Linked DNA regions of Saccharomyces cerevisiae S288C. The protein of the gene in region 1 binds, or shares a complex with, the protein of each later gene. Each region holds a gene or a part of one and is shown on either strand. Other genes may lie near its edges. A codon is read from its position in the direction of its gene.

Region 1 (5,069 bases):
CAACTTAATACAACTTTTCATTCCTTTGTATAGAGTCTTCATGAATGAAAGTCTTATTCATTTTTTTTTTTTTTTAGCATAGTTTTATATTCCTTTTTTATTCCAAGACTTATATTCTCATTATATTCTATTTAGTTTCGCATGGAATTTCAAGTACACATATAACTACAGCCTTACTTGAAAATTGCCTGTCTGGGTCTTATACTTTGCACCCTTGTACAGCTTTGTATTTTTGCCAATTGTTAATCCAGATACAATATCGATGGCTTCTACATAGATTCCACTGGCCGATTGTCCTATGTAAGAATATTCTAAGGAGACTGTTTGTAAATCAACTTTTTTTGTAAAATTTGGCCCAGTATTTTCATACTCAATACAGCCACGTAGTACAGGTACCGTTCCAGTGGCAGTTGATTTATCAAAAATCCATTGTCCTTGACCCATGATAATGCTATTTTCAAAACGGCCATGAGTATTGCGCAATATTTTTATCTTATATGCTATTTCATTTGGATCAGCATTCTCAACATTGAACTGTAAATCTATTTTTAGGTCATCAACTTGTGAAACTTTTTTGAAATTTTCAATATTTAAGGATAACTCAAATTCATCAGAATCTTTACCCAATCCATTTTGGAAGTGTAAAGACATCAAGCCAATAGAATTCATCCTTACTCCGGATTGCTTTACTTGAGAACTTAAATCGACGGAATACTCCAGCAATCTGAACTTCCCATCTGGTGGTATAAACGTTATATTAGAGGGAGAAAACACACCATCATTGATTTCAACACAGTCATGCAAACTGGGTATACCTATATCATTTCCCATAGTGTTTAATTTTACTGCAACTAGAGGATTATCATTCAAATAAGATCTCACGTCCACTATTCCATGGATACTTCCAGTGAGCAACCTTAGATGTGATTTTTTCTTTTCAAATACAACATGGAATGTTTCTAACAAATCCACATAAAGCTCATTATTCTCATGTTTGCTAGCCCTTGAAGTTCTCCAGGGAACAATCTCTTCATTTTCGATTAGTGAATTACTACCACGAGAAATCTGATTTTGTTGTAGCTGCTGTTGCCTTTGTTGTGGGAGTTGCACAGCCTGCTGTAAATTATGGGCTGTAGAACTTATGAACTTCGATAAATCCGATCTTTCAGGAACAGCTTCTTTAATTTTATTAACATAGAGCATATCACTCACATTTGGTTCACCCGCTTCGACGCAACAGTTAAAAATCAAACTGATTCTATCATAATTATTAACAATTTTCTTGATACTTAATTTATCCTTGTCAAAATATTCTAACAGGATACGATCTATAGTCTCTAAAAAGGTAAAACAATCAAGCGGGCCTTTTGACTTCGAAGTGGAGGCTAAGCACCAATAATTGAGCTTATTTATAACTGAGAAATACTTATAGACCTCTAAATCTCTTCCAACCATTGAATGGTCTAAATAATCATCACTACTGCTATCTTCGAGCAATTGAGGACATGTGGACTGAACGCGGGTCCACAGGTGCTTGAAGGAGGGAGCTGTTGCACCTAAAAGATACTGGAAAATAAGTTTGTTCTTTGTATCAGTGATATAGAATGACAAATACATCTATTTTGGTTGGGTTGGTAAGGTTTACAGCCTCTGTTGTTGCCCAAGTCCTGTTATCGCCAACTTTAAATAAATCTCTTCTTGTTCTTTGACCAAAAATTTCATTTTTCGTCGCATTTAAAAGAAACTGAAATTTCAAACATAAACACCAAAACAAAGCATCATCAAGGGAACATATAGTAAAGAACTACACAAAAGCAACAATGAATAATCAGCCGCAGGGTACCAACAGCGTTCCAAATAGTATTGGAAATATATTTAGCAACATTGGAACTCCATCTTTTAACATGGCGCAAATTCCGCAACAGCTGTATCAGAGCCTCACACCACAACAATTGCAGATGATTCAGCAACGACACCAACAGTTACTGAGGAGTCGTCTACAACAACAACAACAACAACAACAACAAACTTCACCGCCACCGCAAACGCATCAATCTCCACCCCCTCCTCCGCAACAATCTCAACCCATTGCTAATCAATCAGCGACTTCTACCCCTCCTCCTCCTCCAGCACCACACAACTTACATCCCCAAATTGGTCAAGTGCCCTTAGCTCCAGCGCCTATTAATTTGCCTCCACAAATTGCTCAGTTACCTTTGGCTACACAGCAACAAGTTTTGAACAAGTTGAGGCAGCAGGCCATAGCAAAAAATAATCCACAGGTTGTGAATGCAATTACTGTTGCACAACAACAAGTGCAACGCCAAATTGAGCAGCAAAAGGGACAGCAAACGGCACAAACTCAGCTAGAACAGCAGAGGCAATTGCTGGTTCAGCAGCAACAGCAGCAGCAACTTAGAAACCAAATACAGCGACAACAGCAACAACAGTTTAGGCATCATGTGCAAATACAACAGCAGCAACAAAAGCAACAACAACAGCAGCAGCAGCATCAGCAACAACAACAACAACAACAGCAACAGCAGCAACAGCAACAGCAACAGCAGCAGCAACAACAACAGCAACAACAACAACAACAGCAGCAGCAGCAGCAGCAGCAGCAAGGACAAATACCGCAATCTCAGCAAGTTCCTCAAGTTAGATCCATGAGTGGACAACCTCCCACCAATGTTCAGCCAACTATTGGCCAACTTCCTCAACTTCCAAAATTAAACTTACCCAAGTACCAAACTATTCAATACGATCCACCAGAAACCAAGCTACCATATCCAACCTATTGGTCAGACAAAAAAGCAGATACGGATACTTTGTTGTACGAACAAATTATCCAGCGTGATAAAATTAACAAATATTCGCTAATAAGAGAAACCAATGGTTACGATCCGTTTAGCATTTATGGATTTAGTAATAAAGAGTATATTAGTAGACTGTGGCATACACTGAAGTATTATCAAGATTTGAAGAACACTAGAATGAAATCTATCACAAGCACTTCTCAGAAGATTCCTTCGGCAAGTATTTGGGGAAATGGTTACTCAGGGTATGGTAATGGGATTACGAATACAACTACCAGAGTTATTCCACAAGTAGAAGTTGGAAATAGGAAGCATTACCTAGAGGATAAATTAAAAGTCTATAAACAGGCCATGAATGAGACATCGGAACAGTTAGTTCCCATAAGATTGGAGTTCGATCAAGATCGTGACAGATTCTTCCTCAGGGACACTTTGTTATGGAACAAAAATGACAAGCTTATTAAAATTGAAGACTTTGTGGACGACATGTTGCGAGATTACCGATTTGAGGACGCTACGAGAGAGCAACACATTGATACTATTTGTCAATCTATACAAGAGCAGATTCAGGAGTTTCAAGGAAATCCATATATAGAGTTGAATCAGGACCGTCTAGGCGGTGATGACTTGAGAATTAGAATCAAGCTGGATATTGTCGTGGGACAAAACCAGTTAATCGATCAATTTGAGTGGGACATCTCTAATAGTGATAACTGTCCAGAAGAGTTTGCAGAGTCCATGTGTCAAGAATTAGAACTACCAGGTGAGTTTGTGACTGCCATTGCTCACTCCATAAGAGAGCAAGTTCATATGTATCATAAATCACTGGCACTGTTAGGTTACAATTTTGATGGATCAGCGATAGAAGATGATGACATTAGAAGCAGAATGCTCCCAACGATTACTCTTGATGATGTTTATAGGCCTGCAGCGGAAAGCAAAATTTTTACTCCAAACCTATTACAGATTTCAGCTGCAGAGTTAGAGAGATTGGATAAAGATAAGGACAGAGACACAAGAAGGAAAAGAAGACAAGGTAGATCTAATAGACGTGGTATGCTCGCATTGTCCGGCACATCTGCAAGTAATACATCTATGAACGGCGTTCACAACACAGTAGCAGCAGGAAATGCTTCATCGTTGCCACCAGGAGAGATTTTACTGCCAGATATTGCAGATATTCCAAGAACTTTCAGGACTCCAGTACCTAGCACTTTAATGCCTGGTGGTGTTGACGTAGGCCCTTCTGTGGAATCGTACGAATTGAGAAACACAACCACTTATAAAAGCAGGCCAGATAGACCTAAGCCAGTTTCACCTCCTTGTTATATTATTGACCATATTCCGGGTCATTCGCTACTACTTTCTATTAAACTGCCTGGGAAAGTTAATACAAAAGAAGAGTTCGCAGCAGCGCCCAATGACACAAGTAGTGGCACCAATGCAATGCTTCCGAGTCCAGAATCGCTGAAAACTAAGCTGAATAGTAACATTCGCGCTGGTGTGACGATACCTTCAATCCCAAACCCGATTGCCAATCACACTGTTACTAATTCACCCAATCCCACACTGCAGCCAGTAATCCCAGGTGGGGCAGCTAGTAAATCGGTACCTACACCTAGTCTTCCTATAGCACCTCCAGTAGCACCACATGATAGCGAAGCGACATTGTTGACTAATAGCAATAATGGTAGCAGTAACAATAACACACAGAATACATAGAAAATATATACACATATATAAAATATACCGGAGATGTAAATAACCGTGGAAGAATTTGTATTATCATCGTGTTATACGATGCGGAGTCCCTTTGCGCCTACTTTTTTTAGAAGAATAGTACATAACCTTTATAAAAATCTTCCAATTTAGATACATAAAAAGAGCATGAGAATAACAAGAACACGTAGTCTAGGAAACTAAGCGCTATGCCAGAGCAAGAACTACTTATAGGGCAAGAAATGAATACACTTCATGCAGGTTCATCTACTGATGGCATAAATGTCGGAAACGCAGGACGAACTAGAGACACACAAACTGGCGTAGAAGGGGAAACGGAAATAGGGTCTGACGAGGAAGATAGCATAGAGGACGAGGGAAGCAGCAGTGGAGGAAATAGTACGACAGAAAGACTAGTACCACACCAGCTGAGGGAACAAGCAGCCAGACATATAGGAAAAATAGGAAGACATTTTAATATTCTTGATAGACTTTTTAAGAAACGTACACAACAGTCTTCGGATATACAACAAG
Region 2 (4,140 bases), on another chromosome or scaffold:
GATGCTTGCGATATCTCACTATGGAAAGATACCCTGCTATCCATACGTAACGGTTTAATTCTTCGTGTGTCATTTCCCATATCGGACTTTTGCGATGCAGTTCTTGTCAACAACGTTGTAGGATTGACTGATGAATGTGTCGATATTGTAGAATAGGTTCTTCTCTTAAGTTTCGCCTGTTTGGGATGCGTACCATGCTCTGATTCAGCCGATGTTTCAAAGATTGCGCTAACTAGCGAAGCCTTACGAGCGCTTGTAAAAGTTCTTGCCGAGGAGGAGGCTTCTAAGTTGCATCTGTTACTTGACGTACCGGCAGGTAACGCCGTATCATGGCCTCTCTCTAAAGCCGCATTCTTTGGCAAAGAGGGAGCGATGCTCTCTACATGAATCTGCTTTTGGTGAGTTTCAGACTTTGCTAGCCTGGATGGCCTCGCATTAGAACTTAAAAGCGCGAAAGATCTTAACTGGTAACGTTTCACTGCTTCTGCTTCTGCTTCACCTTCAAAATCCATGCGGCCACTTGTGGATATATTCGTTTTCTCCACATAGCCTCCATTTTCCACTCCACTATTCTCCCCGTTAGAGGAACTAAATTTGTGTCTAGAATCTTTCGTTTCGTCCACTTTCAATGCAAGCGCTTCGTGACGTATTGGTTGTGCATCAGAATACTGCCTATAGTTCTCTAATTTTGGGTACTTGCCTGTCTTCATGGAAGCCGCCGTATTGTCAACGGATTTTGACCTTGGTAAATCTGACGATGAATCAAATGAAGTGGATAAGGACGACATTACGAAGTTTTTTCACGTTTTCTCATAAAAATTCAGTACTTCTATAAAGGTGATTAAAATATATTCCTGTCGATTTTTTTATCCAACTGACAGTACATTTCCATGTAAGTAATTGTTTAGCAATAGTAGTCTCTACCGTCCTTGCTGAACATTGAATAGAGGAAATAAACGCTGTTGATTTTACCTTTCCACTTTTATAATATAAACCTCTACGTTAAAATATCATATGCTCGAGGAAAACCTGATTTCTCTGGAAGCAGCCACTTTCGTGAACAGCCAAACCAAATGCTGCATTTTTCGAAGAAAATTTTTATCTCAAGGAGTCGCTTTTGTAACTTATAGCCGGTCAGGCAGTAAAAACGTACCTGAAAGAATAGTTTGATAGTAGGATATGGACAACGGTTAGTTTTGTCTGTACTTCTTGTATACAGGGCCTCTGTCAAATGAATGTGCGTATAAATTAATGGAGGTCTTGCATAGTTTGTTGAAACTTGGAAGAACTGTCAACCTTCACATATATGATATCCACGGTCTAAGCACGAAGGGCACTTCTTGTTTCTCACATTTAGGCAACTACGATGTGGGAAGTACAGCTCAGTTACGGAATCTAGCACGTAGGAAGAATAAGCGATAAGTGTTCCCTTCAACACATCCATAAAGGAGTTTAGCAGCTGATATATTTGTCGTATCTAAAAAAATTTTCAGAGTATTATGACCTCGTCAAGTACAACGGAAATATATCCTGACATGGAAAGATTAGCCGTTCAGAAAGTGGCCCTGTGCATTAAATATAGTTGTAGTTTCAGCCGTCTATATTTTTTTTTCGAACCATCACTTTTCCCTTTCTGGACTTTTCTCAATGTAAAAACAAGAAAAACATGGAATGTATAATACTATAAATAAAAAAAGTAGGAAGAAGAACCAAAACAAAGGGCGTTTTAAAGAGAGACGAATATGCTTGGCGAAGATGAAGGGAATACCGTTCTTGAAAAGGGAAATAATCCTTCTGTAAAACAAGGAGAGGTTGGAGCTGTATTTATAGTACCCAAAATACTTATCAGAGAACATGAAAGAGTGATACTTAAGCAAATTCTGCAAATCCTGGATCAAGATGAATTGGTTCAACCTCCCTTAGACAAATTTCCCTACAAAAAATTAGAATTACCGAAATATATAGATGAACTTAAGACGAGAGACGCTACTAATACATCCTACAAGATGATACAATTGGATGCTTATGGTGAGAAAAAAGTGGGTTCGAACGGTGAATTATTTGGCGGTAGACATTATTTGTTCAACACCTTCACATTCACGGCTCATATGGGTGTTCTTCTGGTACTTTTACAAGATGTCATTAAAGTGTTATACCAAAGCAACGCAACGCATGACGAGGACGAGTTTATTGTCCAGCATGATCAAATTCTGGTAATGGAAACTTCTGAGGAACAAACAAAATTTTTGGCCAAAAATGGTGTCATTCCTGAAGAATCCAAAGGATCTTTTAAGTATATAACTGCCAGGTCAGCCTTTGTTGAATTCGGTGCTTCTGTTATTGCCGGTGGTCAACGCATCGTTGATGATTATTGGGAATCTTTAGCTAAAAAGCAAAATTTGTCGTCTCACCAAAGGGTTTTCAAATTATCAACAAATTTAATTTCTAAAATCTCACTTTTACGCCCCTCCTTCCAAAATAACAGGATTAGCAATGCCAATGAAATTAGTGCGAACACTAATAATACCTGTACGATTTCTACTTCAAAATTCGAATCACAGTATCCAATAGTCACGGAACAACCGTCAGCGGAGATTAGAGAAGCCTATATTGAAAACTTTGCCAAAGGTGAGCACATTTCGGCAATTGTTCCTGGTCAAAGCATTAGTGGAACATTGGAACTCAGTGCACAATTTAGAGTACCGCGTTATCACAGCAAAAACTCATTTCAACAAGCTCTGCAAATGAAGGCAATGGACATACCAATCGGAAGACATGAAGAATTACTTGCGCAATATGAAAGTCAAGCTCCTGATGGTTCCGCTTCAATTTCACTTCCTAACCATATTCCATCTGTCAATCCTAGCAATAAACCAATCAAACGAATGCTAAGTAGCATTCTTGATATTAACGTTTCCTCATCAAAAAACAAGAAGTCTGAGGAGAACGAAATGATAAAACCCATGAACAAGGGCCAACACAAAAATAATACATCGTTAAACATAAACGGCTGGAAATTTGAATCTTTGCCATTAAAATCCGCCGAGAATTCAGGTAAACAGCAATATTATAGAGGATTGCCGTTATATGAAAAAAACACGCTGCTAGAAAGGTTGAAACAGCTGACACCGAACGAAATTAAAGAACTAGAGCATTTACACGATGCCGTTTTTGTTAATACCGGTTTGCAGAACGTTAGAAAAGTTAGGACAAAAAAATGGAAAAAGTACTGGCAGTACAAGGCAGGTATTCCTATCGGTTTGAAACGGTCTCAATTGGATGAATTCAAAAATAAATATTTGAAAGATGTGTTGGCGCAAACGAGTGTTACTACAAATTTTAACGAAATAACGAATACGGATGAAACAATAACAACAAAGAGGGTACCGAACCCAAACTTCCTAGGAAATTGTAACATTAAGGATTTTAAACCTCCATACATTTATTCTCATGTGAACAAAGTACCACAAAATGTCGCTGGGGATAAAACGGCTGTTAAGCTGGACACTGAAGTAAAGAACACAAATGCTAATCCAGTGGTGGCGACGGATCCGGTCGCCGCTAAACCGGACAACCTGGCTAACTTCAGCAACGAAGTAGCTATGAATAATTGAAAGAAGTAAAACATAATGTAGGGAACACTCCAATAAGAAATAAACCATTGTTGAAGTAGTAATATAAACTATCGTTCGTTATTTTATAAAATATGTATTGTTACATATATATACATATATAGGGAATGCATGTGCACAATTGGTTTGAGTGGAAGGAATAATCCAAAATCATAGCAGTTTGGTCTTTATGATCTCTTGTCTGATTCTGAATGTGTAATATGCCATAACCAACATAATGAAAATTAATGGAAGTAACCAAATCATTAGTTTTCTGGCAATTTCGTCGACCTGAGGACCATCTTGTCCATGACGTTTGGTAGCTTCCCTATACTTTTCTTGTTCAACCAGGACTTTCTCCAATTTCTGATTGATTGATAAGAAGTCTTTGAAATTTTCTTTATCCTCAGCGATTGCATCATCGGTGGACGTTCCCTTTTCATTATTAGCTGGTGGCTTAGAAGAGAGCTGTTTAGTTATCGTAGTCATGAATGATAATAGCTCTTGTTGGACCTTAATGACATCATTT
Region 3 (6,098 bases), on another chromosome or scaffold:
CTCAATACTGCGCCGAACAGCTTCTGAAGCGATCTTGACTTTGTGGGCAGCTTGAAATTTTCTTGGATGATTCTGTCCTATTTGAGCTTTACCTCCTCCCATCGAAAGGGCGAAGTCACACCGTTTTCAAAGGTGGAGTGTTACCCCACCCCCCACGCTGACTCCACATCTGACTCTCTACCGTTTTATTATAGCGAACGTTAACTCTGAATGTATGTGTGGTGTGTATGAATTGTATTTACTGCCTGAAATGGAGTCATAAACTCCTTTATACAATTTCAAGGAATTTTTGTAGCCGCGACGGGACCAGTGGGAAGTTACTAAAACCATTGTTTAGTTGAGCCGCCCAAGATGTGACTTCATGGCAGCTATACGTTCATTTGGGCTTTTGGCACTAAAGGCGCTCTTCCGACTGTATTGTTTCCATAAGGTCTATTATATTAGTTACAACATTTTATATAGGTTTATAAAAAGAAAATAGTGCGCAAGGAAGAAATAAGCAGTAAAAGAATATTGTTTAAAAAAATCGCATCATTCCAAATTGGTTAGGATATCATTTTTTAAATTGTAAAGTAATTGATACTGGTTTATTATTTGAATATCAACTGATGGATTAGTGAATAACTGGAAAATTTCTAAATCCGTGGGGAACAAATTTGGAATCGATGCTATTTTTTTTAATATTTCCGGGTCGTTGTTTAGGCAGTTTTCAAAACAAATACTTTTTTCAACCAAACATTTGATTAACTGAACACAGGATATGTTAATTGACGGTAGGAGCACCTTTGAATAATTTTGTTGCTGTAACAAAGTATTCTTACTTGTGGAATTGTTAATATTCAATATTATCTCACTTAACTTCAATAGTCCAGATCCAATATTTTCTTCAGAGCTCAACCACACAAATGGTAAATTCTTGTTGAAATTGAAGCTAGAATCTTTGTTGCCGTTATTGTTACTGTTACTGTCTGAATTATTCTCACTGATTTCAAATACTTCATTGGATAACGGCAATATTTTTTGTACAATGACTAAGATGCTAGTTAGACTCTGAGAAATTACCGGAGAAAATTGGTCGATCAGCAAACTTGGATCAGCTGATTGCGATAACACTTGCTGCAGCGGTATGGCAGAAAATAAAAACGAAACCACATCATTTAGCAAGTTGTGCCTATTGTTATTATTTTTATTGTTATCATTGTATAAATTCAAAAGTCTTCGTAACAACTTTTTGTCCTTGTGGTTGTTGTTACTGTTGCGATCATAGAGGTTGTTACCTGTGTTTTTGTTCAGAAGGATTGATTTGAAATAATTTAGGTTCGGTTTTTCCAATGAAAATAATTTGGCCAAAATATCTACACCGAAAGTTTGATATTTTCCCCATTGCAACTGGAATTCGTTGAAGGTCAAAGATTCAGAGCCAAATGATGACGAAGACGCCATTGGATTGAGTTTTGGTTGACCAAAACTTATGACTAGAATAAGAATTAACAAGCAATCAATGGACGAAGCGATCTCTAATAAATGAGAAATATTTGATAAAACAATAACCAAATCCTTCTTGAAATTTAGTATTTTCCTATTGCATGTAAAGTTTTCTGGATGGATTAAGACTAACCAAAGTAGATCAGATATAAATCTCTTTAGGTAAAAATTTCTCGACATGATTCTGGAGTTGTTATCGGAGAATGAAATATTCCTCAAAATCATCGAGATGGTAGACAGTTGATCGTTAATCAGAACTTTGGGATCCTCTGCCCCTCTGGTATTTATTTTTGTAAATGGATCATCAATTTCATCCTTGATTTTTTTCAAAGAAGTCAAATAAGGAGTTCTGTGAATTTTCAAAGGAAATTGGTTAGGGAGGAATCTTATTGGTTCAGGCAATAAGTCCCACTGTTTAACTGCGGGAGATGTCGACTGCATACTTATAAAACATTCAGTGTCGAGATCAGGCTCCATTTCAGTAGGAGTAGGGGTGGGCAATTGATTACCTGTTAAAGAATCTACCAGGATAGTGACTTTTTCATCGTTAGAATCATTCGGTGTAAGTGTAGCGTTGTTGTTTACCTTTTCAAAAATTTTATCAACCATTTTATCGTGTTGGGTAACATAGTATTGATTTGATCCAGCATCCTCATAATAATAGTCAGAAGTGTTTCGATGGTATGGAACAACATTTTGTGACAAATTTGACAGTAAATTCATGCCGAGTATTGCCAAGGAGTCTAATAATTCAGGGTATTTGACCAGAGATATTTTTAAGTTCGAGTCAGCGCTTGTGACCAACAAGGTGTTCAAGGCGGTGTTTATTTCTCCAAGATTCTTCGATTGGAGGGACATTGATAAAGCATGTAAATTAATTGCACCTAACTCTGGCGCGAAGAGAAAAATTGGCTTGTTGGAATCTATTTTCTCTCCTATTTTAGAGATGTAATTGATATCGTAACCATTGTAATGCTTGAGGCGGTTGATTAGGGGTTTGTAGTTCCTAACAATTGATCTCTTGTAGACTTTAGGCAATTTTTTTAGTTCGATTTCATATTGTTGACGTAATTTTGTCTCTAATAGCAATTTCTGTTGCCTTTGTTGATCCTCTAAAAGTTTTTGTTGTCGTTTCTGAAAATCCTCCCTTTCTTTACGTTCTAGTTCCAATTCCTTTTTGGTCTTTTTTTTCACTCTTTGCTTTCTTGGCTTCTTAACTTGCTGTTGGCCAATATTGTTATTATTTACGTTGATATTAATATTGCTATTCAAGCTTTTTGGAGTGTTTGCTGAAACCGGAACGATCCCTGCTTCTGTTCCTGGTGCTGCTGTAGCAGGAACGGACGCGCCAGGAGCCGCGGGGGTTGGTGCTGACGATGCACTATTAATGTTATTGTTGGCATTGGCCAATGCAGCGGCCTGCTGCTGTTGTTGAACTTTCTTCAATAGTTCTTGTAAGAACTGTTGCAAGAATATTCTTTTCGCTTGAGTTTCCTTTATACCTTCTTGGGAAATCATGTGTCTTTCGTAAGGTAATAAAATTCTAAAATAGATTGATTCTAATTGTTGGTAATCGGAAATTTGCAGCCTTTGGGCCACCATAGACCACTGTTGGGTCCTTGTTACTTGATCTGCACCACCGAATTTTTGAACCAACATATAAAGATAAAAAAGATTTATTTTTCTGTTGCCGATTTCTGGTATTGATTGTAACGGCATATTTCTTTTTTTACAGTTTTCAATCAAAGATTTCATAAAAAGTTCATATTGTTTGTTATTCAATTCAGTAGATATTTTCTCTTGTAATGCCGGGTTCAGACTTTGTAAAATAGATCTTTGTTGTTGCTGCCGTTGACTCTGCAAAAATTTGGGATTCTGTTGTTGCTGTTGTTGCTGTTGTGGTTGTTGATTTTGCTGTTGTTGATTTTGTTGCTGCTGCTGCTGCTGCTGTAGAGCCTGAAAACGTTGCTGCTGCTTTTGCTGCAAAGCGGCAAACATTGCAGCTCTTTCAGAGAACACTGTATTTGCGTTTGAAGTTGAATTATTGGTATTAGCGGGAGTTGCAGCAGGCACGGCAGTGACATTATTGTTATTGCTCGTTTTATTATTGCTGTTATTACGCATATTATGGTTATTACTGTTGTTGTTGTTGTCACTTGTGTTCGGAACAAATTCATTGCTTGCAGAGGATGATCTGTCCATTGAATTTGAAGCAGCGTAATTAGAAATAAGCTGGTTAGACGTCAAATTACCATTATTGGAAGCACTGTTATTGAATGGCAAAAATTGTTGATTTGCATTCGGAGTAGAGTTAGAGTTTGTGTTCGGAGTAGAAGATGAGGAATTTTGACTGATGGATTGAACATTGGTGATAAAATGGGGTGTTATTACATTATCGTTCGCAATTCCGGTGCTATTATTATTATTGTTACCGCCATATAGCTGTTGTTGAGCTTGAAGAGGTAAATTGGAAGAATCAATGATTGAATTCTTGGCTAAAATAGCCTGAGGAGACAGGCTGTTTAAATTTGTGTTGGAATTGTTTGAGTCATATGGAGAATTGAATTGGGGAGACTGGTTCTGAATGAAATTAGCAGCTTTTCCACCGGTAACATTAGCAGGAGCGGCATTATTAACGACTGCTGTTGGAGAAGTAAAGTTCGTGCTGGAGGCTACCGTGTTACTGTTATTGTTATCATTGTTATTACTATTACTGTTGTTATTGTTGGAATCCAAATTCTGGTCAAAAGGTTTTGGGTCGAAAAAATTCTGAAAATCGTCTACACCACTGGCTCCGGTATTCGTATTGTTGTTATTAGTATTGTTATTAGTATTACTACTATGGCCTGTGCTATTGTTGTTATTGGTATTATTAGCAGGATTATTATTATTATTAGTATTATTATTATTAGTATTATTGTTATTGGTAGTAGTAGTAGTAGTAGTAGTATTATTATTATTATTATTATTATTCAAATTAAAGAAATCCATCTTTATTTATTACTATTTTTATTATTACTATTTTTATTATTATTATTATTATTATTATTATAAGACACGAAAAGAAAGAAAATAGAGATAGAAAAAGAAAATTTTAAGAATAATGAGTGTAATAGGAAAATAGCCGCCAGTCAGTGATTATTACCTGGTGAACAATAATCTGCAATCCGTGAGAGGAAACAACGCGAAATGCCAAAGCAGAGATGGTGTAATAAGGATAGAGCCACACAACAATACTTTCTAGAAAAATAAATAATAAAAAAATAAGGTAAACAAAGTGTAATCAGTTGCCTTGCCGTATAGTGTTTTGCGGTATAAATATTGTTATTCAATACGAATGATGAATACCGGAAGGTGGTTATGACTAAAACGCAATGTGAATATGATTACAACTGGCAACAACCACAACAGAAACAACAATAATGCATAGTGGTAATAATACGTAAAGTCAATCAGCGTTCAGTTTTAAAAAAAATCTTTTCTCGGTGCTTTGGGGAAGGAGGGGTGGCGTCGTTTCGTAATCGGAGATACCCAAAGTTCATATCACGATAAACGTCAGTTCCGGGTTAGAATAAATTTATGCGGTAGTTTCTGTGCGAACTTGAGTGCGGTGGCATTTTCCTCCGGCGAGGCCTGGGTGGAACACTCAGGCAGGGGGTACACCCAGACCTGCAGGCATGCATCTGCTGTTTCGGCGGCTATTTAACATGCGCACGATTTTACGAGAGGAGAAGAGAAGTATGATATAATTAACGGTGAGCATTTTTGGTAATGGGAGGTGAAGACGAAATATTAAGCACGATGGAGGATTTTGCGGCAGTTTACGATGTCCTGGTAATTGGTTGCGGGCCTGGTGGCTTTACTGCAGCGATGCAGGCTTCGCAAGCAGGCCTGCTCACAGCATGTGTTGACCAGCGTGCCTCGCTGGGGGGCGCCTACCTTGTAGACGGGGCAGTCCCGTCCAAGACCTTGTTATATGAGTCTTATCTTTATCGGCTGCTACAACAGCAAGAACTTATCGAGCAACGTGGCACGCGGCTGTTTCCTGCAAAATTCGATATGCAGGCGGCCCAGAGTGCACTCAAACATAATATAGAAGAGTTGGGCAATGTGTATAAACGTGAGCTATCTAAAAATAATGTTACTGTGTATAAAGGCACGGCTGCTTTCAAAGATCCTCACCACGTTGAGATTGCGCAGCGCGGCATGAAACCGTTCATCGTAGAGGCGAAATATATTGTTGTGGCGACCGGATCTGCGGTTATTCAGTGTCCTGGTGTTGCAATAGATAATGACAAGATAATTTCATCTGATAAGGCATTGTCACTGGATTATATACCTTCACGTTTTACTATCATGGGAGGAGGTACAATTGGACTAGAAATCGCATGCATATTCAATAATTTGGGCTCTCGGGTTACTATCGTTGAATCTCAAAGCGAGATCTGTCAAAATATGGACAATGAGTTGGCTTCTGCCACGAAGACCCTCTTGCAGTGTCAGGGTATAGCTTTTCTTTTAGACACTAGAGTGCAGCTCGCGGAAGCCGATGCTGCCGGTCAGCTGAACATCACCTTGCTTAACAAGGTGTCAAAGAAAACATATGTACATCA
Region 4 (4,786 bases), on another chromosome or scaffold:
TTTGTTTGCAGGAACAATGATGACGGCGAGCTAGGATTTTTGATTCTAGACGCTGTACTATGCAAATTCAAGGAGAACGAAGATTTAAGCTTAAACGGTGTGGTTGCTTTACAGAGACTATGTAAGAAATACCCAGAAATATACTAGCTAAAATCGCTTTTATTCTTACCTTTATGTACTGTTGCCTCTATATGTCTTCCCTTCATATAATAAATTCCATTTCTAAAAAAATTGTAGTTGTGTTTATAGATGTATAGATAGATAAATGAATGTGTACTTGCTGCCTTAACGCCTTCCGCTAAAAACTTTTTGATATTTATTTTATTTTTAACCTTTCCTGACTTCAACCCTTACTGTAATGATGATAGTAGAAGCCGTCTATTTTTCATACTTTTCTCATGTTGATTTTCCTTGCAGACAAAGACAATCTCTTGGATGGTTTGTACCAACCACCATTATCTGAAGGCATAGATGCAGGAGTAGCGTAGTTTACTCCCGATGATATCGTATAAGACCAGCCAGGAGTTATCGTAGTTGCTTGCTCTGGCAATGACCCAAAGGTAGAGTAATATGTCACAGCACTAGTGGCAAATTTCCTTGTCCATGTGGTAGCGGTCACTTTAGTATTTGGCTGCATTTGCATTGGAGCGAAACGCGACGTACCAGTCTGCTTGGTGTACGGAACAGTAAATGAACGACTGTCAATAGTAGTGGCTTGGGCGTTGTTTGTAGTGGTTGTTTGAATAGAAGTCTGGGGAGTAGGTTCAGTTGTGGCACTATATGTATAAGCCGTAACACCGCCCATGGAAGTCAACTGGAATCTTGGTGTATAATGGATAGTGTAACCTTGACCGTCCACCTGGGCAAAAACTTGAATGTAATATTGACCGTTCCCAGTTAAGGTCGAAGCAAACTCAGCTGTGTAAGAGTAAACTTTATCATCTTGTGTTAGCTCACTTGGAGTAATTTTACTGGCAAGTACGGCCACACAGTCAATGTTGTTATTAGGACCAGTACAAAGACTGAACGTGAAAGTTGAAATCTTGCTTAACGAGGGATATGCCCCATTATCCATCCATTCAACGGGAACAGAGACAGTACCACCACTTGGACTGAATGTTGCCTTGGAGCTGGGGGAAACAATATTCACATCTCCCAGCACAAATGAGACTAAAAACACCAAAGCACATATGATGGAATTTCTTTGTAAACGCATTATCTATAATATGTCACAGTTGCTGATTCTCTGAGAAGGAAGTAAAAAGCGAAAGAGTAGATTCCTAGTAATCAAAACAAAGTGTGAACTGCCACTTTTAGCGCTTCTTGGAACTATCAAACTGGAGCAAATCTGGCTTCAAGAATGCTTTGAGACTCCTGTTCTATTCCTGTATTATCCTTGAAGATCTTTTTCGAGGAAAAAAAAAAAGAAATGTAAATAAAACACCTAATCGTCAAAAGTGATATTATATTGAACCGCCGTGGTTACGATGGAATAATGGTCAATACGCAGTTTAGATGGCATCCAACAATTCAGGATGGCCAATGATGTTATTTTAGTTTGAATTGATTACTTTTGAGCTAGTTTAAATTCGATTTAAGAGCCATTAAGTAGGCATCACGAATAACGAGGCCGGACGTTTGGCGTTTAGGCCATTGGCGAAAAGACGAAAACAAACTATATCAGATACGCAAGAGGAATGTGTAAAGGCCATGCAAGGCGCGATATATTGGTACATCGAGGCGCGTTCAGAGACCAATTGTGATACGGTTTGCAAGCATGGAGAATACACTGGGTGAGGGGTCCACGGTAAACGCTTCCGTGGACGTGGACCAACATGGCAATGACAACAATAGTGATAGCAACGCTAATGCAGCTGTGGCAGGGGTTGCCAATACAGATACTGCTGGTGAAGAATCGCAGCAACAAGATGAGTCTCTGAAGGATGAAGCAACTGTTCCGAACACACGCGATGCAGAAAGTGAGGCGATAACGGTAACGGCAAAGCAGCAGCCGACTATGCAAGCGAATAAGCTAGATTCCCAGGAAACACCTTCTACAGAAGAAAGCAGGGCCCAGAACGTCTTTGGCCAAGATAATGAGGATAGTGATAATCTCTTTGGCGAAACCGAGAGTTCTGTTTCGAACAATGAGGCAAACACTCCTAGTATACCTACGAACCCGGTAGACAATGAAAACAATAAGCCTGCTATTAAGGAAGACAGCACAATACAGGATTCAAATGGTGACGTTAAAAACATGGAGGACGTCAAAATACAAAAAGAGGAAGAACCAGAGAATAACACTGTTATTGAAGGTGTCAAAGAAGAAAGTCAGCCAGATGAGAACACAAAGGAAATGGATGAAGTGGAAGAAGATGATGAGGATGACGATCAACCGATGATTAGTCCTGATAATTCCATTTTTGGAGACACAAAGAGTGAGTCTAAACAACTAGGCAACACTTCGTCGGTTGCTAATACTCCATCTGAAATTCCAGATGCGCATAAAGCTGAACAGGAGGATATCATAGAAAAGACGGAAAGTGTAGATAAGAAGGTAGATAGTGGCGAAGAGAGAAACGAACAGGAACGTGAAATCATGAACGATCACTCCAAAAGTGCCAATCCAAAGAAAACCACTATCACCAGAGTAGAACCCGAAACTTTTGAGATACCGCAAGCACATGAAATTGTTATTCCAAGTTATTCTAAATGGTTCAATCTAGAAAAAATTCATTCCATTGAAGTTCAATCGTTACCTGAATTTTTCACCAATAGGATTCCATCAAAGACACCTGAAGTTTACATGAGATACAGAAACTTCATGGTAAATTCTTACAGGCTGAACCCCAACGAATATTTCAGTGTCACTACGGCGAGGAGAAACGTCTCTGGTGATGCTGCTGCATTATTCAGATTGCATAAATTCTTAACAAAATGGGGGCTAATAAACTATCAGGTTGACTCCAAACTATTACCTAAGAACATCGAACCCCCACTAACGTCTCAATATTCCACAAGGCATGATGCCCCCAGAGGACTATTCCCATTCGAAAGTTACAAACCATCTGTACAACTGCCGGATATGGCAAAGCTTAAAAAAATGATGAACACTAGTGATTCGGAGAGTACTTTATATAAATATTTGAAAGAAAGCAAAAGAAAATATGATGAAATAACTCACCCCCCCAGTACCACTGATGATGAAAATGGTGACAAAAATGATAATGGTGGTAAAATGAACAATGAAGTAAGTACGTCAACAAGCATGACTGGTGATGCCAATCTATTGGAAGAAGGCGAAACTTCACGTCCTCTGAAAAAAGTCAAAATTCTAGAACAAATTGATGAAAATTGGTCAAAAGAAGATTTGCAAAAGCTATTAAAGGGAATACAAGAATTCGGCGCTGACTGGTACAAAGTGGCCAAAAACGTTGGCAATAAGTCGCCTGAACAGTGTATCTTACGTTTCCTTCAATTGCCCATTGAAGATAAATTTTTATACGGTGACGGCAATGGCAAGGGTGATAATGACAACGGGTTAGGACCTTTGAAATATGCTCCTCACTTGCCATTTTCGAAGAGCGAAAACCCCGTTTTATCAACAATAGCATTCTTGGTGGGTTTGGTCAATCCGAAGACTGTACAGTCGATGACCCAGAGAGCCATTCAGTCCGCAGAATCAATAAAATCACAAAAAGAGGAAATCTCTGACCAAAAGCCAATTGAACATATTAAAGAAGGTTCAGAAATTGCCATATCATCATTGGGTTATAGGAGTCATATTTTCGCTACCAACGAGGAAAGGCAAATGAATTTTTTGACTAACGAGCTAATAAGACTTCAAATGGAAAAATTGGACGCTAAATTAAATCATTTAAAGAAACTAGAAAAATTTATGGAGCTAGAAAGGAAAACCCTAGAAAGACAACAGGAAAACTTACTAATTCAGAGATTGAACTTCAACCAAAACTCCAGCAAGATTGTAAACGTTTTAAGCAAATGCTTGAATTTAATATCCGACAGCAATATCAATAATAGTTCAGTGGCGGAGAAGGAGGAAATCAGGTCGCAGATAGACCATTTCAAAAGTATGCTATCGAAACCTGAAACTTTAAGTATTGGAAAGAATCCATTTAACAAACCTAATATTGAAACAGGTGAAAACCATAATGGCCAAAGTATATCTAACGAGAATGATGTCAAACCCATTTCTATTGAAGCACCTCAATTTTACAGGTATTGGTCGGCATAACAATGACACATGGAGATCATTTTTGTTTTTGTTGTAATTATTCTTCATTAGTAACACTTTCTATTTTGTTTCGCTCTATATTTTTGCTTATTTTCTTTCTTCTAGGTTCATTTCTTTAATGGTGCGTCACTTGACTTGGCTTCTCTCTGATTTTTATCCCATTTCTCTAGATTCGACTAGACATGTTATGTACATGTAGATATATATCTATAATTGTGTTATTTTCTATTTTTTCTATTTTTTTTATTTAAAAGAGCCTTTATCAAAAGTTATTTTTCTTGTTCTGTGTTGTTCTTAGTTTGATTTTGATTCTGTGTATTGGCCTAAACAAATTAGTATATAGTAGTATATAAATCAAATATTCACTTTAAAAGATTTTAAAATTAAAAAAGCATTTAAGCAGAGATACGTTTTTGGGCAGCAATTCTACCTCTTTGTCTAGAAGTCAATCTGACAACCTTCTTTTCAGCAGCCTTGGCGACAGCTTCTTCCTTTTCGGTAACAACCAATTCAATGTGAGATGGAGAAGAT

The links.
Region 2: the proteins of SNF5 (region 1) and SWP82 are in contact, whole or in part, in a cryo-EM structure (PDB 7EGM), measured with the Saccharomyces cerevisiae proteins. Residues at the interface, in NP_009848.4 of Saccharomyces cerevisiae: Ser413 (codon at 3,057), Gly414 (codon at 3,060), Tyr415 (codon at 3,063), Gln466 (codon at 3,216), Arg470 (codon at 3,228), Phe472 (codon at 3,234), Tyr499 (codon at 3,315), Arg500 (codon at 3,318), Phe501 (codon at 3,321), Glu502 (codon at 3,324), Gln508 (codon at 3,342), Gly553 (codon at 3,477), Gln554 (codon at 3,480), Asn555 (codon at 3,483), Glu582 (codon at 3,564), Leu583 (codon at 3,567), Glu584 (codon at 3,570), Leu585 (codon at 3,573), Pro586 (codon at 3,576), Tyr639 (codon at 3,735), Arg640 (codon at 3,738), Ala642 (codon at 3,744), Ser645 (codon at 3,753), Lys646 (codon at 3,756), Thr649 (codon at 3,765), Pro650 (codon at 3,768), Asn651 (codon at 3,771), Leu652 (codon at 3,774), Leu653 (codon at 3,777), Gln654 (codon at 3,780); in NP_116605.1 of Saccharomyces cerevisiae: Glu279 (codon at 2,577), Arg286 (codon at 2,598), Glu287 (codon at 2,601), Tyr289 (codon at 2,607), Ile290 (codon at 2,610), Phe293 (codon at 2,619), Ala294 (codon at 2,622), Lys295 (codon at 2,625), Gly296 (codon at 2,628), Glu297 (codon at 2,631), His298 (codon at 2,634), Ser300 (codon at 2,640), Ile302 (codon at 2,646), Pro304 (codon at 2,652), Gly305 (codon at 2,655), Gln306 (codon at 2,658), Ser307 (codon at 2,661), Ile308 (codon at 2,664), Ser309 (codon at 2,667), Gly310 (codon at 2,670), Thr311 (codon at 2,673), Leu312 (codon at 2,676), Glu313 (codon at 2,679), Leu314 (codon at 2,682), Ser315 (codon at 2,685), Val320 (codon at 2,700), Glu468 (codon at 3,144), His471 (codon at 3,153), Leu482 (codon at 3,186), Arg486 (codon at 3,198).
Region 3: the proteins of SNF5 (region 1) and SWI1 are in contact, whole or in part, in a cryo-EM structure (PDB 7C4J), measured with the Saccharomyces cerevisiae proteins. Residues at the interface, in NP_009848.4 of Saccharomyces cerevisiae: Pro316 (codon at 2,766), Pro317 (codon at 2,769), Glu318 (codon at 2,772), Ile342 (codon at 2,844), Ile343 (codon at 2,847), Asp346 (codon at 2,856), Asn349 (codon at 2,865), Glu356 (codon at 2,886), Thr357 (codon at 2,889), Phe368 (codon at 2,922), Ser369 (codon at 2,925), Asn370 (codon at 2,928), Tyr373 (codon at 2,937), Ile374 (codon at 2,940), Leu377 (codon at 2,949), Trp378 (codon at 2,952), Thr380 (codon at 2,958), Leu381 (codon at 2,961), Tyr384 (codon at 2,970), Gln385 (codon at 2,973), Leu387 (codon at 2,979), Lys388 (codon at 2,982), Arg391 (codon at 2,991), Ile395 (codon at 3,003), Ile407 (codon at 3,039), Trp408 (codon at 3,042), Tyr412 (codon at 3,054), Asn417 (codon at 3,069), Ile419 (codon at 3,075), Thr420 (codon at 3,078); in NP_015309.1 of Saccharomyces cerevisiae: Arg662 (codon at 2,493), Tyr664 (codon at 2,487), Pro666 (codon at 2,481), Leu667 (codon at 2,478), Asn669 (codon at 2,472), His673 (codon at 2,460), Gly676 (codon at 2,451), Tyr677 (codon at 2,448), Asp678 (codon at 2,445), Tyr681 (codon at 2,436), Ile682 (codon at 2,433), Ile685 (codon at 2,424), Lys688 (codon at 2,415), Ile689 (codon at 2,412), Ser691 (codon at 2,406), Asn692 (codon at 2,403), Lys693 (codon at 2,400), Pro694 (codon at 2,397), Ile695 (codon at 2,394), Phe696 (codon at 2,391), Leu697 (codon at 2,388), Phe698 (codon at 2,385), Ala699 (codon at 2,382), Pro700 (codon at 2,379), Glu701 (codon at 2,376), Leu702 (codon at 2,373), Gly703 (codon at 2,370), Ala704 (codon at 2,367), Ile705 (codon at 2,364), Asn706 (codon at 2,361).
Region 4: the proteins of SNF5 (region 1) and SWI3 are in contact, whole or in part, in a cryo-EM structure (PDB 7C4J), measured with the Saccharomyces cerevisiae proteins. Residues at the interface, in NP_009848.4 of Saccharomyces cerevisiae: Pro324 (codon at 2,790), Ala332 (codon at 2,814), Asp333 (codon at 2,817), Thr334 (codon at 2,820), Asp335 (codon at 2,823), Leu337 (codon at 2,829), Leu338 (codon at 2,832), Gln341 (codon at 2,841), Gln344 (codon at 2,850), Arg345 (codon at 2,853), Lys347 (codon at 2,859), Ile348 (codon at 2,862), Arg355 (codon at 2,883), Tyr360 (codon at 2,898), Pro362 (codon at 2,904), Ser364 (codon at 2,910), Tyr366 (codon at 2,916), Gly367 (codon at 2,919), Phe368 (codon at 2,922), Glu372 (codon at 2,934), Thr380 (codon at 2,958), Tyr383 (codon at 2,967), Tyr384 (codon at 2,970), Asp386 (codon at 2,976), Leu387 (codon at 2,979), Thr390 (codon at 2,988), Ser394 (codon at 3,000), Ile402 (codon at 3,024), Pro403 (codon at 3,027), Ser404 (codon at 3,030); in NP_012359.1 of Saccharomyces cerevisiae: His303 (codon at 2,684), Val306 (codon at 2,693), Pro308 (codon at 2,699), Tyr310 (codon at 2,705), Val324 (codon at 2,747), Gln325 (codon at 2,750), Pro328 (codon at 2,759), Glu329 (codon at 2,762), Thr332 (codon at 2,771), Arg334 (codon at 2,777), Ile335 (codon at 2,780), Ser337 (codon at 2,786), Lys338 (codon at 2,789), Phe349 (codon at 2,822), Ser353 (codon at 2,834), Leu356 (codon at 2,843), Asn357 (codon at 2,846), Asn359 (codon at 2,852), Glu360 (codon at 2,855), Tyr361 (codon at 2,858), Phe362 (codon at 2,861), Ser363 (codon at 2,864), Val364 (codon at 2,867), Thr365 (codon at 2,870), Thr366 (codon at 2,873), Arg368 (codon at 2,879), Arg369 (codon at 2,882), Asn370 (codon at 2,885), Val371 (codon at 2,888), Ser372 (codon at 2,891).

What each region holds. Positions count from the first base shown.
Region 1 is NC_001134.8:777,847-782,915, forward strand, and holds SNF5 (Snf5p), read left to right. Parts: upstream 1-1,820; coding exon 1,821-4,538; downstream 4,539-5,069. Other genes in the region: YBR287W (uncharacterized protein), read left to right, coding at 1-8; APM3 (Apm3p), read right to left, coding at 166-1,617; BSD2 (Bsd2p), read left to right, coding at 4,745-5,069. UniProt on the Saccharomyces cerevisiae protein: Involved in transcriptional activation. Component of the SWI/SNF complex, an ATP-dependent chromatin-remodeling complex, which is required for the positive and negative regulation of gene expression of a large number of genes.
Region 2 is NC_001138.5:35,061-39,200, forward strand, and holds SWP82 (Swp82p), read left to right. Parts: upstream 1-1,742; coding exon 1,743-3,614; downstream 3,615-4,140. Other genes in the region: putative Mg(2+) transporter ALR2, read right to left, coding at 1-788; EMP47 (Emp47p), read right to left, coding at 3,783-4,140. UniProt on the Saccharomyces cerevisiae protein: Involved in transcriptional activation. Component of the SWI/SNF complex, an ATP-dependent chromatin remodeling complex, which is required for the positive and negative regulation of gene expression of a large number of genes.
Region 3 is NC_001148.4:519,392-525,489, reverse strand, and holds SWI1 (Swi1p), read right to left. Parts: upstream 4,477-6,098; coding exon 532-4,476; downstream 1-531. Other genes in the region: IRC15 (Irc15p), read left to right, coding at 5,257-6,098. UniProt on the Saccharomyces cerevisiae protein: Involved in transcriptional activation. Component of the SWI/SNF complex, an ATP-dependent chromatin remodeling complex, which is required for the positive and negative regulation of gene expression of a large number of genes.
Region 4 is NC_001142.9:91,522-96,307, reverse strand, and holds SWI3 (Swi3p), read left to right. Parts: upstream 1-1,777; coding exon 1,778-4,255; downstream 4,256-4,786. Other genes in the region: RFA3 (Rfa3p), read left to right, coding at 1-147; KRE9 (Kre9p), read right to left, coding at 386-1,216; 60S ribosomal protein uL22 RPL17B, read right to left, coding at 4,651-4,786. UniProt on the Saccharomyces cerevisiae protein: Involved in transcriptional activation. Component of the SWI/SNF complex, an ATP-dependent chromatin-remodeling complex, which is required for the positive and negative regulation of gene expression of a large number of genes.